Linked DNA regions of Sus scrofa. The protein of the gene in region 3 interacts with the protein of the main gene of each other region in a pairwise test. Links are inferred from orthologs where the notes say so. Each region holds a gene or a part of one and is shown on either strand. Other genes may lie near its edges.

The links.
Region 1: the proteins of ARNTL2 (region 3) and CLOCK interact in binary tests that used the Homo sapiens proteins (3 or more experiments, as listed by UniProt). The link is inferred for Sus scrofa from reciprocal best matches to the Homo sapiens genes BMAL2 and CLOCK.
Region 2: the proteins of ARNTL2 (region 3) and NPAS2 interact in binary tests that used the Homo sapiens proteins (3 or more experiments, as listed by UniProt). The link is inferred for Sus scrofa from reciprocal best matches to the Homo sapiens genes BMAL2 and NPAS2.

Annotation. Positions count from the first base shown.
Region 1 is NC_010450.4:54,906,500-54,911,663, reverse strand, and holds the start of CLOCK (circadian locomoter output cycles protein kaput), read left to right. Parts: upstream 1-1,471; 5' UTR 1,472-1,650; intron 1,651-1,742; exon of another isoform or gene 1,743-1,935; intron 1,936-2,687; 5' UTR 2,688-2,771; intron 2,772-3,473; exon of another isoform or gene 3,474-3,507; intron 3,508-5,164. UniProt on the Homo sapiens protein: Transcriptional activator which forms a core component of the circadian clock.
Region 2 is NC_010445.4:53,487,209-53,492,600, forward strand, and holds the start of NPAS2 (neuronal PAS domain-containing protein 2), read right to left. Parts: upstream 3,168-5,392; 5' UTR 3,106-3,167; intron 2,498-3,105; exon of another isoform or gene 2,347-2,497; intron 1-2,346. UniProt on the Homo sapiens protein: Transcriptional activator which forms a core component of the circadian clock.
Region 3 is NC_010447.5:46,479,037-46,484,317, forward strand, and holds the start of ARNTL2 (aryl hydrocarbon receptor nuclear translocator-like protein 2), read right to left. Parts: upstream 3,334-5,281; 5' UTR 3,245-3,333; coding exon 3,208-3,244; intron 3,173-3,207; exon of another isoform or gene 3,059-3,172; coding exon of another isoform or gene 3,022-3,058; intron 1-3,021. UniProt on the Homo sapiens protein: Transcriptional activator which forms a core component of the circadian clock.

The DNA.
Region 1 (5,164 bases), on a different chromosome or scaffold from region 3:
TGAATAATTTAACTGAAATTTCCAGTTATGTAGTCCACATTAAATTCAGGGCATCAAAACACGTTTGCAGCCCACATCTCCATTTTTGAATCTGCTTTTTTCCATGCTGCCTTCTTTCTCAGACTCTGTGAGTGGGAAGTTGGCTTCAGGCCTCCATTTTTCCAGAATTAAATCCATTGGAAAAAGAGAGATCACTCCTCTTGTTAAGTCCAGTTTAATGCAGAGGATTAACTCAAATATGTTTTCCCCTGGGGTGCTGCCCCAGCCAAAGGTCTGAGAGTGAAGAAAGGATAGTTCTCCAGGAAACTATCAGAGTAGGGAATGAAGGCTGACCGGGGAAAAATGTCTACTAAACTTCTGTCTGCTACTGATGACTCCATTAGAATTTCCCACTCGTGTCGGAAAAACGCTCATGTAAACGATCAGGGATCTGAATAAGTTCCTCAGTTGTAATGTTCTTTTCATCTTGAGTACACAGCAAGAATTTGAAAAGTTTACTGATATGAATGTTACCTTGAGGGGAGGATTTTATAGTCAAAACAGGTGTTTATTTTTTGAAACAGGACGACTACTTCTATTTCAAATCCAAAGAACATTAAAATGTGAAAACTACTAGGAATCAGGGCTGTAAAGACCTCTTTTCCAATAATTTTCAACCGCCGAAATACGTTTTCCCGTGCGGACCAAGTGTCTTAACTATCAAAGGTTAAGATAAGGACTATTAGGATAAGGATATCCTAAGATAAGTGCGCAGTACTCACACGTTTTTCTAACAAGGGAAGCGGTGCAAATTAGGGTCCTGGTTTATCCTACAGCTTCACCCCCCACTTTGCCTTATACTGTCACCTGGCCTTTAAGGCCAAGTAAGAAACTCCAAAGCGGCACAGCCGTACCTTCTTTTGCCTCCCTCCTCCAGCCAGGGCTCCCGCCCAGTTTCCTCAGGCCCACCTTCCAGCGAGAAGCAACTAAAGCAGTGCACCCCCAGGATAGCGCAAAGGAAGAGTCTGGAGCTCAGTCACCCTCACAAATTCCCTCTTCCAGACCCAAGAAACGAAGCGCAAGGGATGCTATTGGAGAAGGGAAAAAGCTCTTGCGCCTGCCAATACCGGAAAATTTCCCCTGGCGCTGGCAGTCATTCGCCTCTCTCTCTCTCTCAGAGAGACCCCTCCGCGGGAAGAAGGAGAGGGTGATTCCTCGGGACCCCTCCGCCTGGAACCACCCTCTCCTTCTCCCCGCTCCCCGCATCCAGGGTGAAAGCCGAAGCCGCCTCCCTAGAGCTGCCCGGGCCGGCCGCGCCCTCCGCCGACCAGGCCCGCCTCCCCTGCTTTCCTGGAACCGTGCGGGCAGCGGGGTGCGGGGAGACTAGGGGTTTCCTTCCCGCCCTGCGGCGGGCGGCCCGGGGCCCCGGGATCTCTTCGCTGCTCCGCGCTGCCTAACGGGCAAGTCGCATGCGCGCCGAGCCGCGCCGGGGAGATGAGAGCGAGGGGAGGGGCGGACGCACAGCGCCGGCCGGCGGAGCCCGGGGTCACGAGGACGCATGCGCCGGAGGGAGCGCACTCTCCGACGCGGATTGCGACTGCCCGCTTTGAAAAGGAAACCCCCAGGGCGCGAGCGCGAGGGAAAGCTGGCCCAGACGCGTGCGCGCTCCCGGTGAGTGTCGCCCACCCGGTGGGCCTTGGCTGGACGTCCGCCGGCGGCTGGCTTGGGCGGCGCATGCGCTCCCGGGGCCGGTGGAGGAGGGGAGGCAGGGAGGGGGAGGAGGAGCGGGCGGCGGTGGCGGTGCCTCGGGCTGGGTGGGGGGCGCCGTCCGTTCAGGTGCTGCTGGTGCTGGGGCCGCCGCGTATCCCGGACCCGGCCGGGTCTGCGCTTCCGAGTCGCCGCCGCCGGACCCCGGGGTGGGGTGGGGAGGAAGCCGGAGACGCCGCGCGCCACACGGTGAGGGCGCGGGGAAGGGGAGGGAGGGGGGGCGGCGTGCGGGGCTGGGGGCGGTGGCCGGCGGGGGGCCGGGCGCTGGAGCCAAGTTTTGCCTCTCACCCTGGTGAGTGTTTTCGGGAGTTGGGCGGAGGCCCGGCGGCGCGGGGCCCTCGAGGACAGCGGGGTTACCTGCGGGGTAGGGGCGGGATCGGGGTGCCCGGCGGGGCCCGGTGGCCAGAGCGCTCCCTTGGGTTGGGGCCGATTGCAGCGGTCGAGCGGCCGGGACCGCCGGCGACCTGGTGCGGGGAGCGCTTTCGCCTGGGACCCGCTAGGCCTTGTGACCCACTTTATTCCTGTCACAACCCGGGCACGTTTGGAGCGGCGCCCAATGGGGCGCGGGGACGGCCAGCTCCTCGGGGAACCCCCGCCCTCCCGGCGTGCTGTCCGCGGGGCCGCCGCCCGAGGGCTAGTTCCGTTGGTGGTCGCGGTTCCAGGCCGGGTCCTCATGGCGCCTGCCCTTCCCGGTCCCTTTCCGCCTGCGGAGCCGGTCCTGGCGCCCTGGCCCTCGGATCGTCATTTCCACCGCCGAGCGCCCGGAGCTTAAGCCCCCGAGTGCGTTTTTGCCGGTGGAGCAGTCCACAAAGCAAAGCCTCCCCTCTGACCTGGCAAATGAGACGTGGAATCAGGTGGCGATTTCTTGCTGTTAGGATGCCACGCTAATACTTAACAGCCTTCTAACTTTAACCAAACCAAACCAGTGTTTTCTTTTACAGCGAAAGAAAAGCACCAGAAGTAAAGAAACTTTTACAGCTTTTGTTGATTTGGCTGTTAACGCTGATCCCCCGAATCAAAAAAAGGTAATCAAACTTGAAAGTTTGCATTTTAATTTGTAGCTTCATTTTAAATGATGAGAGGAGAAAATTGTGCAGTGTTTACCCTCCACTTGGTTGAAAAACAAAGGTTCTAAAAAGGCTATATTTATATAATGAGTGGGTTTCTCTGTTTAAAATCTTGTTGAGGGGGAAAAACTAACTCAGGTGTTAAGTAGTAAACTGATGAGAACGTCATTAAAGGTTAGCCTAAGGAAGATAGAAGGAAAGTTGTGGGACAACTGGTCATAGTCAGCTATGAAAGAAAACAATGAGGAAGGGTTCTGTGTACTGACCTGGGAAGAGCTCCAAAATATGTTATGAAGTGAAAAAAAGATGTAGGGCTGTGTGAATAATGTGCTGCTTTGTGTGTTAAGGGGACAGGCGAGGAATAAGAATACAAGCTTGCGTTTGCTTTTCTAAGTATAAAGCGACTCTGGAAAGGGAGAAACTGCAGAACTGGTAATGGTGGGCGAGAGGGGGAAGGAGCCTGATGAGGGGATGGTGGGAAATGACGTTGTGTATGTCTTATTTTTAAAGTATTTGGACTGTATTATGGATTCATAAACTAAACAGAAGTCCTTCTTTCCAAAATAACTTGTTATGTGTTTTTGTTTGTTGCTTATTTCTCTTTCCTAATTTATGGTGATTTTGGACATTTTCAACATGATTTCTCTTAATATTTTTAAGGAAAATGAGCTGTAAAATTCAAAGAAAGCTTAGGGTAAGTTTGGCTGTCTATGCCTCGATTTTTAAGGTGCTGGTGTCACATTTAATTTTTAAAGCTGTTTAGTCACATTTTACTTTGCCGAAATATGACATCATTTACATTTGGCATTATGGCTGGATTATAAAGATTTCAGAGCATGGTTTGCCTCCTTTTTTTTTTTTTTTTTTTTCAGGAATCATACTTGCATAAAATTTGACTTTTAGTTTTTTTAACCCCAAAGTTGTCATGACAAATAGTTGGAGAGTATGAGCACTCCATTAAAATGGTAATAGAATCGTTTGTCCAGGTAGTTTGCTTTGCAGATTTGGGAAATGCTTTTCTCAAGACAATCAGATATGAACCTCAGTGACATGTAACTTTATATGTATATTTATTTTTATAGTACTTTCGGGGAATTAAAACTAGCAGTCAGTGCAGAACATCAAAATTTTTTTATGGCTTATTGATTGCTCCACACAGTACATGATTTGGGGAAGGGTACTCAGAACCTCTTGGATGCTAATATAATGAAAGTAGTGAATGTTGAGTAGTGGTTGACAGTTACTGTGGGCATTTTCGTTATGTTTCCAGTATTCCTTTTTATTTTGTACGATAGGATAATTATTTTTGTTTGACTTAGAGGTCTCTAGTCAAACTTATGCATATTTTTTCATTTGAATTCCATGTGGGTCTATTCAGTCTTTTTGAAAAAATAGAATTGCATTTCAAAATTTTACTTAAAATTTTGTTATTGTTTTTCAAATTATAGAAGTAGAGTGGTGTTCATGAGAAATTAAAACAATGCAGTGTATATGTACGTGAAGCAGCCTTTGCACGTGTCCACCTCTTCTCACATCTCTGCAGAAATGACTGCTGTTAACAGTGTTGTATAACCTTCGAGTTCTTTTTCTGTGCATTTACAAACATGAATTTTCAGTCTTGAGAACTGAATTGTCTTGTTTTGTCCGCTTGTTTGCCTTCAATGTGAGCTCTGTTAGTGTCACAGGTCAGGGAAATGACCTGGAGTGTGTCAGAAAGTTTAACATATAGTATGCGCCTTAGGACAGTCTCATCTTTTCACTGGTGAGGGGCTGGTTAGTTTGGGGCACAGTTACGGTTTGTAGTGAGCTCTCACTGTTGTGAGCTTTAATCTGATGTGGATTGAATTTACCTTTAGACTTAGAGTCCGTGGCTTTTATAGGACTCTTTAGGGTCCACATTTCTAGGGTTTTGACCTGGTCAGTAGCTCACAGGTTAAACTGCTTTTGTTCTCCTGCATGTGCGGGCCAATAGAAAACTACTTAGGTTCCACCAGCCTGTCCTGGTCTCTGGAGTGAAACTACACAGGTCTGTCCTTAACTAGGAGACATTGACTTGGAATGCAGCCTTGGAAGGGGAGAGGGAGCAGAGGCAGTCAGGTCTGGTTTGTCCTATAATGACAGCAGACAAGTCGTATGTACACCCCACCCACCCCTGGCCCCCTGCACAGAGAAGACTGCCTTTCTAACCAAGCTGCAAATAATTGCCAAGACTTAATTCCTTTTAGGTGATAGAAAGTTGAGTATTAGTCAAGACTACTAAACTAGGTGAGCTATATAGAAAGATGCAGTACAGTTGACCCTGCCCTGAGCATATTTGAAGTCTAGTGTCTTTAACATTGTGGTTGCCAAAG
Region 2 (5,392 bases), on a different chromosome or scaffold from region 3:
AACAGTTATTTTTTTATACCAATTTAAAAGATAAACTCTCTTCTATTCCAAACCATCAAATGGAAACCACACATTGTCTTATGACCCATGGAAGCTCAAGTGATCTCTGGGGGAACTTGACCTAGAAATTACTTTCCTTAAAATGCCAAGTGGTCCCCAGTTTCAAAGAATTCAGTGAGAACACCAGTGCCTGAGACGAAGACTGCTTTTCAAAAATTTCCCTTTAAAACATAGGTTCACATGTACTAAGTGTTATTTAGTGCTCTAAGGTGCTATTAATCATCATCAGATTTAAACTAGAATTACTCAAAGTACCGCATTAGCATTCAGCTATGTCTGACCTCTGGATAACCATCATTGACGAGTCAGCTCATTTCCTACACCTACCTATGCAGCATCTATGATGAACAAGGCCTCAAAGGGAGGAGATGTCGTGGGGACTCAGTGTCACAGTCCCTGACTATGCCTATGCCACAAACTTAATGAAAATCAGGAACATGCTAATCCAACATTCCTGTAAGCAAATAATGCATCGAGTATCATTCCAATATTTAAATGCAAAACTCATTCAGATGCTTCTTTAATGCAGCCAATTAGACCACTGGCATAAGAACACCAAGAACACTGCGGTACTGGGTTATTTTCAACACCTCACAGTCTGACTCCTCTTGGGAAAAAGATGCTGCCGTCTGCATGGGGTCAGCATGGGACAGTCAGGGTCCGGATCACAATGGAAAAACCGACTTTTCATGGAAAGAACAAAATACATACTTGTTTGAAAAATTAAAGAAAAGGACTTAGCCCTTTAGATGCTTAAGGCTCAAAAGCCAGACTTATGAAAAATTACCATATAAAACTGGTGAGAGAAAAAAAACATATGAATGCATTATGGTTTGAATCTAAAAAAAAATTATTAATTTTGACTTTGTAACCCAAAAACAAGTAGCGGTGCTGAGAGCCAGCTATAAAGATTATTGAGAGTTAAGAAAGATGGTTCCAAAAAAAATAAAAGATGAATTCGACTGCCTAACCACGAGGTGGGTTATTTATAACTATCTTTATTATTTTATCATTTTCATTAATAATTTATTAATTAGCCAGAAACAGTAAAAAGGGCCTAAACTCTTACAAGAACCAAACGGACTTAAAAACAATTGTAATTGTTTTCTAGAGAAAGATGACTTCTTTCGTTGCCATCTAAACACTTTCTTCTCATATCAGGGTATTTTTTTTCATCACAGCAATCAGTGAAGCCTCACTTGGCTCGTTTCTTGGCATACCTAACTCTTTGGGGGGGATGTTTTATTAATAACATATTTCCTCCAGAATATATTCCTTTCTCTGGCCTTCGCAAGAGTCATTCTGGGGAGCAGTGAGAATAAAACCAACTCTATACCTGCCACAGTGGGACAGATCAGCAAATAAATAGAGGCATCGATTTCCAAGAAGAAAATGGCTAAAAGCAGCATATTTACAATTCTTCTAAGCCACACTCCACCTCTCTCTGTGAGATGGAAGACAATTATTGAAAGCTTTTACAGCGCACACTTTATTTTTAACTAAATCTTTAGGTAGACTGCTGAGAGATGCCAATACCTCTACCCGTCCTGTTTAGCTGCACCATCAAACAGATTTTTTGCTTTTGCAAAACACTGGCCCAAGCCTGAACAGCTCTTTTAAACATCATATTTATAGGGGAGTTATTTTAAAATGCTTTTGGAGGTTATTTTCGGCAAACATTTCCTTTAAGAACTCTTAAGGGCAGCAAGAGCTGCTACGTGCCCTTGAGTTTTGAACTGACACCTCCTAAGGTGGAGCAATTAAAACTTGCTGTGTTTTAATGCAAGCCATAATGAGTCGGTCAATTCACCGACCCGGGATTGAGTTGGATAGTGTTTGATAGACAGAGATATGGACAGAACTGAACCTTGCCAGGAACTACTTTTTGAGCTAATTATCTGGAACGTGCAAACGGGGAAAACCCTCCTATTAAGGAAAAGAAGAAATGAGTCCTAAATGATCTAGAATGATCAGCTCCCCTCTGCTAATTAATTTAATAACTACTCAATATTTAACCGGAAAGAAACAGGCCGATCAATTTGATGAATCAAAGGATCAGGTGCTAAAGACCAAACCCGCCGAGCTCTTCCCTCTTGGACCCCTCCTGAACACCTGTTGAGCTCTGGGGTTTTTAACTTTCCGAACTAAAGCCTCGCAGATACAACCCTGTTATCCTTTAGACTTTCTGGAAGTGCGTGTGTATTTTTAAGGTTTCCATCTTGCTTAATCAACAAAACTGGTTACTAATTATTTATGAATCACAGGGCCGAAAACAAACTTTCTTACCTTGAGCAGTTAAGGAGTGGCAAGCAGAGGAGCGGGTTGGTTTTTAATTTGGTCCCTACCCCCCACCCCAGTTCCGCACCCTGCACGGCTCCATGGAAAGGTCAAAGGTAAGCCTCCCTCTTCGGCTCTGGGAGAGGAGGGGGGCACACCTCCCAACAAAACAACACGCTGGCATCCAACCTGGGGAGCTCAGAATGGCAGGCCGACGCAAGGGGCCGGGCTACGCGCTCTCCAGGCGTCCAGGGGGCCGGCTCAGCACCCCTTCCGGCCCAAACCAATTCCGATCTAGGGACCGAGAGAGACCTCGGCCCTGCAGCACGCACGCCGCACTCTCCCGGGGTCCTGGCACCCCCATGCTCCGTGGGGCGCGCGATGGGCTCAGGGAGGCCAATGGACGACCTTCGAGGCTGCTATCTGGGCACGGCCTCCACCCACCCCGACGGTACTCAATGAGCACCCCAAATCCTGAGGCTCAGGGTGTCTTGTCCTCTGCCTCCTACGGCGAGACGCACACGGAACCCACCAGTCCAGCTGCCGCTGCGGTCCCGCAAGACGCGACGTCCCGGCTGCGGGGACCGGGGACTGGGGGTGGGGCCCCACCTCCTCTCGCCGCCGACCCCCGCGCGGCGCAGCCCGGGGCCGAGCGTCCCCCGGGGGGCCCCGCGCGCCCACCGCGCCAGCGAGCAGGTGACCGAGTCCCGAGACCCAGTGCGCACGCCCTCCCACCCGGGCCCCCGCGTCCCCCGGTGCGGCCCTTACCTCGGAGCGGGCCGGGGCGGCCCCGCGGGGCCGGGCGCGGACTGGGCCGGGGAGACGCGCCTCCCGCCACCGCCGCTGGGAGCCGAGGCGGCGAGCGGGCGCGGCGAGCTCCTCCCGGGCGGCGGCGGGAGGCGCTGCTCTGGCTGCCGCCGCCGCCGCCGCCGCGGCTGCGGTTCTCGAAGCTACGCGGCCGCCACTCCCGGGCCGCCGCCGCCGCCGCCGGTCCCTTGGCTCCTGCGGGAGGCCGGCTGCTCGCGCGGCAAACTCTTCCGCACGCAGAGCCGGCGGGGACAGCCGCCGCCGCCTCTTCCTCCTCCCCCTCCCTCCTCCCGCCTCCTCTCGGTACTCCTCCTCCTCCTCCCGGTCCTCCTCCTCCTTCCCTGAGCTCCGGCTGCCGCCGCCGGCCGGGTGTCTCCTGGCCGCACGCCGGGCCCTGGCCGCGATCCACCCTTGGACACGCACCCTGCGCGCCCTACGGGCAGATGGACCCTCGGACCCCTGCTTCCCTGGGCGGCACAGACACCCGTGCCCCGAGGCCGCCGCCGCTTCTGCCCGCTGCCAGGGAACGCGCGGCCGGGTCCGGCTGGGGGCACAGGGTCGGGACTCGGCTCAGGGCGGGGGCTGGTGTGTGCCTAGAGCGCAGCTGGCCCGAGGAGAGACCAGCGGATGCCGAGCTGCCGGCTGAGGTCCGGTTAAAGTTGTCAATAGGGGTGGCAGGGAACCTTCCTCCCCGGCCAGGTGCCGACCCACGCCCAGCCCGCTGCCACCCCTCGGTCCCGTGCTTTGGGAGCGAATACGCCACTGTGGTCCCCTGCCGCCGTCCTCGCGGGGCAGGCCTGCGCACGGAGCCGGAGCCATGGCACCGGGCGCGTCTTTGCAGACGGACCGCTGCGCTTTTCCTACGAGCCCCAGCGGGGGTCGGGGAGACATGGGCGAGCGCCCTTTGCGGAGGACCTCCGCGCCTGCTGGGGAGGAATGATCGGTGTTTCTTCCAAGGCGAACGTAGCCGGTCCGGAAAAATGGGTCAAGGATGGAAAGAAGCCGGCCCATTGCCCCCCTCCTAGGCAGAGGCACGTGGGCTGGGGGGCCATGGCCAGGAGCGCGCACCCGGAGCTCCGCGCTGCTGCTCCTTCCCCTCCCCTGCTGCCCTCCTCTCCTTTTGCACCAGTGCAGGAAATGTTCCACTGACCTACATATTTTTCCAAACATACGTGACCTTTTTTTTTTTCCCTCTGTGGGAGGAGACAGGCGAGAATCCAAGAAAAGGAGAAGCCAAAGCTGCGCGCGAGGAAACAGGGAGGCTTTCAGTGAGGCTCCCGCAAACAGCGAACACAGACAGGCCCATAAATATTATCTCTGGGAGCCAGGAGCTGCTGTGCCCGAGCTCAGCGGGGCTCCAAAGCAGAGCCTGGTGGAAAAGGGAGACCGCGCCCCCCGCCGAGGCCCGGAGAGATCTCTAAGACTCGAAGACCCCACTCCGTTCCCTTCCGGCGGGGCGGCGGCGTTCCTCAAGTGGAGGCGCCTCCGGAGACATCCCCTACCTCCAGGGGAGGTCACCCTCTAGGTCACCTAGAGGTACAACCAGGAACCTTTTTAGGATGTCCCTGGGTCCTTCCCACATTCCGACCAGTAGCCCTGGAGAGGAAAGCTCCCCACTCATTCTTTTCCATCAGATTAGGTTTTCTAGACTAGAAATCTCCTAAGGCCTCTCTTCTGAACGCTGGCAGCAGACTGGAATCGCCCCCCACTAGGTTCCAGGGTCCTTGCTTTATCTACTCCCCACTCAAGTTCAAGGCAAACCCTCTCCCGGGGAGACCGACCCACAGCGCCTTATTTGGGCATGCAACCCAGCACTGTCAATTAGATCAAAAAAGCTCACCCAGAGCTCCTTTTTCCCCCCTGTAAAGTAGGTCATTCTCTTTATTTCCCACTTGTATTATTTTTGTCTAATTCGCCTGCTGAAAAATAATCAGCTGCAGGAGCTTTGAGCATCCTAAGAGAAGCTATTATTCTTAGGCTTGCTTCTGACTTGGAGGGCTTTTCAAGGAGGAGGAGGAGGCACTTGGCACACACTGTAGTTTGAAGTCCCTCCCTTTCCAAAAGCAGAAAACATCATTTTCAAAAATGAAGTCATTTTATTTTGCTTTGTTTTTCTAGGCCCTCCCTTTCCTTTAGGCAAGTAGCTTTTGCCCTGCCCTTAAGCATGGCATGACTAACACCTAGAAAAGGAGAGTCCTGTGCTTTTAACCAGATTTAATGCAGAATTTAAAGCCACCTCCCTTCCTTT
Region 3 (5,281 bases):
AATTGGAGCTGCAGCTGCTGGCCTACATCACAGCCACAACAGCTAGGGATCACAGCTCACAGCAATGCCAGATCTTTAACCCACTAAGCGAGGCCAGGGATCGAACCCACATCCTCATGGATACTAGTTGGGTTCATTACCACTGAGCCACCATGGGAACTCCCACCCTGGTTTATACTGAGTAACGCATGTCAGGCTGAAACTCTGCCTAAGGATCTAGGGCAGGAAGAGCAGTTTATGCAAAATTAGGATACAACTTTTGATGTCTGAGTCACAAAAAAAAAAAAAAATGAATTTAGGCCACTATAATTGCAGAAAGAGGTCTGGTAACATCATAGGTAAAAGCATGAGATGGTTTAAAAAAAAAAAAAAAATAGGAGGGTGTTGAGAAAGTTGCCCTTCGGATGCCTAGACCCAAAGCCAAGCCTGGCTGTTAGTCTGGGGAATGTGCTGCTCCCCCAAGATCACCCTCTAACTAAAGGATCCTGGAATCATTTACTGGGAGGACGCCCAGTCACTTGGCAGCTTGCTTGATCATGGTGTTTACCATAAGCCTGTTGCAAAAAAGTAAATGAGCAGGCAATTATGTTTGGGGGGGGGAATCTTCAAGTCTAGCCCCCAAGATTTTTTTCAGCAGTGTAACCAAACCATGGGGGGCAGTTTTCTCTGCACCACCAGTTTTAGATTTTTATTCTCCCATGAGGGCCCTAATGTCAAAGTGCTTAGGAAAAAAGGAATCTGCAGGGATTTTGTGCAAAGGAAAACAACAAGGCCATGGATTCTGTTTTGTTTTGCTCCCCCCTCCCTGCCCCCTGAAACGAGGATCTGTAATAGTATTTTTTTTTTCTCTACCTCTTAAGATAAAGAGGGTGTCTGGAAGTGAGCATACTGCGGATTAAACCATGCAGTGAGATGAAAAGAAAGAAAAGCAGCATGGGCAGTGTCCACAGATTTTTTTCAGTTTTGCCACTTTCTGGCTACAGCCTCAGTTTTCTCATCTCATCTTTGACAGGGAGATAATCCCACTTACATGACAGGGCTGTTAGGAGATGAAAGATGGTATCCCTTTCAAAATGCCTGGTCCATGATAGGACCTCAATAAATGCTGGTCCTCCCAGCTCCCATGCTAACTTTGCTCCTCTTACCTAAGAAAGATTAATTTGGATCATTCCTAACCTAATATCTGATATTCTGCTAAACAACAATAAATTCTTTGTCCAAAAACTTGTTGTAACACTTACCTGGTGAAAGCCCTGTTTTGAATTAGTGGGTGTATTTTCACATCTCTTTTTTCAGAAAAGCCCAAATTCTTTCAATGTGGCCAGTTTTAACATGCATGCAACAAAACTTTCTTAATAGGCTAGAAAGATTTATTGCTTTTGGAGTTCCTGCTGTGGCGCAACAGGATTGGCGACGTCTTAGGAGCACTGGGATGCAGGTTCCATCCCCCATCTGGCACATTGGGTTAAGGATCCAGTGTTGCCACAGCTGTGGCTTAGGTCAAGACTGTGGCTTGAATCTGATCCCTGGCCTAGGACTTCATATGCCTCGGAGTGGCCAAAAAAGAAAAAAAAAATTTTTTTTTGGAGTTCCCATCACGACTCAGCAGTAACATCCCAACTAGCATCCATGAGACTTGGGTTTGATCCCTGGCCTTGCTCAGTGGGTTAAGGATCTGGTGTTGCCATGACCTGTTGTGTAGGTCACAGACGTGGCTCAGATCTGGCATTGCTGTGGCTGTGGTGTAGGCTAGCAGCTACAGTTCTGATTTGACCCCTAGCCTGGGAAATTCCATATACTTTGGTGTGGCCCTAAAAAAGAAAAAGATTTATTACTGACACCAAGAAAATGGAAGCTGTAAATTAAAATATTAGGCTAATGTTTATGGAGTACTTATTACTTCCCAAGTAGTGGGTGAAGCATGTTATATATATTTAAAGGCATTTATATCTCATTTAACCCAAACAATCCTGTAAGATACTGTAATGATCCCCATTTTACTGATGAAGAAACTAAAGCTAAATAACCCTAGTGACCTAGTAAAAGGCAGAGTTCAGTCACAGCCAGAAATGAAAGGATGTCTCAGCCTAACACGATGCGTACTGCCTTCTCTTTTAAAACCAGTGCTTACTCACATCTTTATATCATGCAGAAAGGCTTCAAATATTCAAATGATAGAATTTTAGAACTCTCCCCATGATCCAAATCCCCAAACTGTATTAGATTTTCAAAAGCATCTCCTCTTATTGCTGTATTTCAGAGAAGAACCTAAACTCATTCCAAAAGGAAAGTGGAGTAGTAAAATACTTCTCCGAACTTCTCTCTGCAGTCTTCCTTTAATTTTTCCATGTTTTTTTTTTTTTTCTGGCCTCCCATTTGTCTTAAGGAACAAATATTTTATGATAAGCGCATAATTATGAGTAGTCCCATGGAAGAAACCACAGAATGTCGCCAGGGAATACGAGAGGAAAAGAGAGCAATGCTTCCAGCTCAAATCACAAAAACTAGCCCCCCCCCCATATAAAACAAAACAAATTCCACTAGTGGCGTTCCTAAAGTTGAAAGGGCACAAGAGCCGCCTGTCGCTAACAGAGGGCTGTAGTGTGGCAAAATATGACTTTGCAGATTGAGAAAAGCGGGCCTCGCCTGCGGGTCAGACGGCATCGGGTCAGTTTCCGAAGAAGGGAACAGAAGTGAGTCTTTGCAGTTCAGAGGGGATGGGCTCGCAGAGCCCGATCTCGTTCAATGGCTGATGACAACTGGGTTATACAAGAGGAAAATGAAATCCAAGAAGTCTGTGCAGCAGTCCCTGCAGACGTCTAAGTGGGCGCCCAGTGGTCGGCGAGGGTAGGCTGCTCGCCATCACAAGGTGGATGGTCTCTCGCCAGCTCACTTTCACCAAAGCGCCCAGCCCGGGGCCAAAAAAATTGGGCTGCGTGCAGCCCGAAAGCCGGCAGCGATCGCGGGCGTCACTCCCCACCTCCGACTCCAGGGAAGGACTCGCGGGGCGCCGCGCCTCACCTGTGCCGCAACGAACGGCCTGGGCTCCAGAGTCCATCCGAGGTGATGCCAAGTGCGAGGAGAGCCCCCAGCAAATTGCGCCCACCCGGCGTCTCCTGGCCCGCCTCCCGCCCCTCAGCCCAGCCCGAGCGCCCCAAGCACGACGGGCCCAGCTCCCACACCTGGAGTCGCCTGCCACAGCCTCACCTCTCGCCGCCGCCGCCGCCTCCTTTTCCGCCGCCATCGCTGTAGCCACCCGGCCGGCTCCGCAGCCCTGGGGCCGGCAGCATGGAGAGCCCCGGACCCGCCCTGCGCGGGCCCAGGCGGCGGCTCCGGGGCGGGAGCGCGGGCACCCGCGGGGATCTGTCTAGTGCCGCGGCGGCCGCCACTGCAACCCCAGGGCGCGCGGCCAGCGGGCTCTGCAGGCAGTGCAGCCAAAACTCGCCAGCGCGGGGATCTAGGCGCCGCGGGGCCTGGGGCCAGAGAGAGGGACCGCGCGTGGGGCGGAGCCACGGCGGCCCCGCCCCGCCGACCCCTGCGGCTAGAGGCCAAGTGCCGAGAGGCTGACAACGTAGCACCTTGACCCTTTCTGGGAATCCGGCTACTTAAAACAGGTTTTCCCAACCACTTTAAGATTCGTTAGCTGCCTGTTCCAGGGGTTGGAATTGTTTCACTTGGGGGGAAAAGGTAAAGAATGGATGGAGATCATTGCAAGGTGGGAGTTACAGAGCGGGGGAGGAGGACGGCAGCGAGAGCTGGAAGCAGGACGTCTCTGATCCTTTCTCTTTTCTATCAAGGAAGGGCTTAGCTGCAGAGATGAGGGTACGATGACAGAGGGGTCACCGAGGAAGCCGTTTGGGATCCTGCAATGGTAGGGTAAATCCGAAAGCAAGATCACTCCCGTCCCTCGGGTCCCAAGGCTTCCTTGGCTACGGTTTTCTAGTAGAAGTAGTGGAGGAAAGGAACAGCAGAGAAAGCACCAAAGCTTTGCATCAACCAGCCTAAAACTATTAATTTTCCTACCAGTACTCTTCATTACAGCTTCGTAACTAGTTGCTTGTTGTGTCCTCAGGGCTACTTAGGGCCGAACCTGGGCGGGGACGTTGGATGCTTCGGATGGAAGTAGCCAGGACCGGAGCAGGGCACCCGCAGGGCTCTGCGGTGTGTGTGGCGGGGGCGGGGTGGGTGTGGGGGGAACAGTCTTAATTGGGAACTGGGACTTGATCCTGCTGGAGGTGGAGGGAGATGCTGCCCTCAGTAACACACACAAAGAGACAAATCACTAATCAAAACCATCCTTTTGTCTTTTTTTTTTTTTTTTTTTTTTTGTCTTTTTGAGGGCCGCGCCCGCGGCATATAGAAGTTCCCAGGCTAGGGGTCTAATCAGAGCTGTAGCCGCTGGCCTATGCCAGAGCCACAGTAACGTGGGATCCGAGCCGCGTCTGCAACCTACACCACAGCTCAAGGCAACGCGGATCCTTAACCCAATGAGCGAGGCCAGGGATGGAACCTGCAACCTCATGGTTCCTAGTCGGATTCTTTCCGCTGGGCCACGACGGGCCTCAAAACCAATCTTGAGGGGTTCCCACTGTGGGGCAATGGGTTAAGAACCCCACTGCAGCTGCTAGGTTTGCTGCTGGCCAGAGCAGTGGGTTAAAGGATCCGGCGCTGACCTGACCCAGCTGTAGGGTAGGTCTCAGCTGTGTGGCTAGCATTCAATCCCTGGTCCAGGAACTTCCATCTGCAGGGATGCGGCCATAATAAAAACAAAGTAAAACACACACACACACACACACACACACACCATCCTCTTGGAACGCAGCCCGATATCCACCAACACCAACTTATGTGGGCATCTAGAAAAGAAAAATTCCAGAGAGCCTGGCAGATAGTCTTAAAATCTGTTTTGAGGTTTACCAAAATGGAGGCGGGGGGATACTCTTAGACCTGGATGTGTGTTAAATGCCACCTTAAAGACAGAGTGGAATTGCTGGTTGAAATGTATCCTGAAGACTATGTAGACACTGTCCTGCTTACAAAGCATTTCCCTCCTTTATCATCTCAGGTGAGCCTCACAGCAGCCTTTGTGAGGTTGTTAAACACATATAATCCTTGTCTTCTCTGTAGGCAAACAAAAGTTCAGGGATGAGTGTTTTGGCCAGGATCACTCAGATGATAAAAGCCGGATGGTAAATGTCAGGTCGCCTTCTTAGGAATTGATACGTGGTATTATAAGCTTTCGGGTGAATCACTGCAGTCCTCATTTCTTAGAAATGATGAT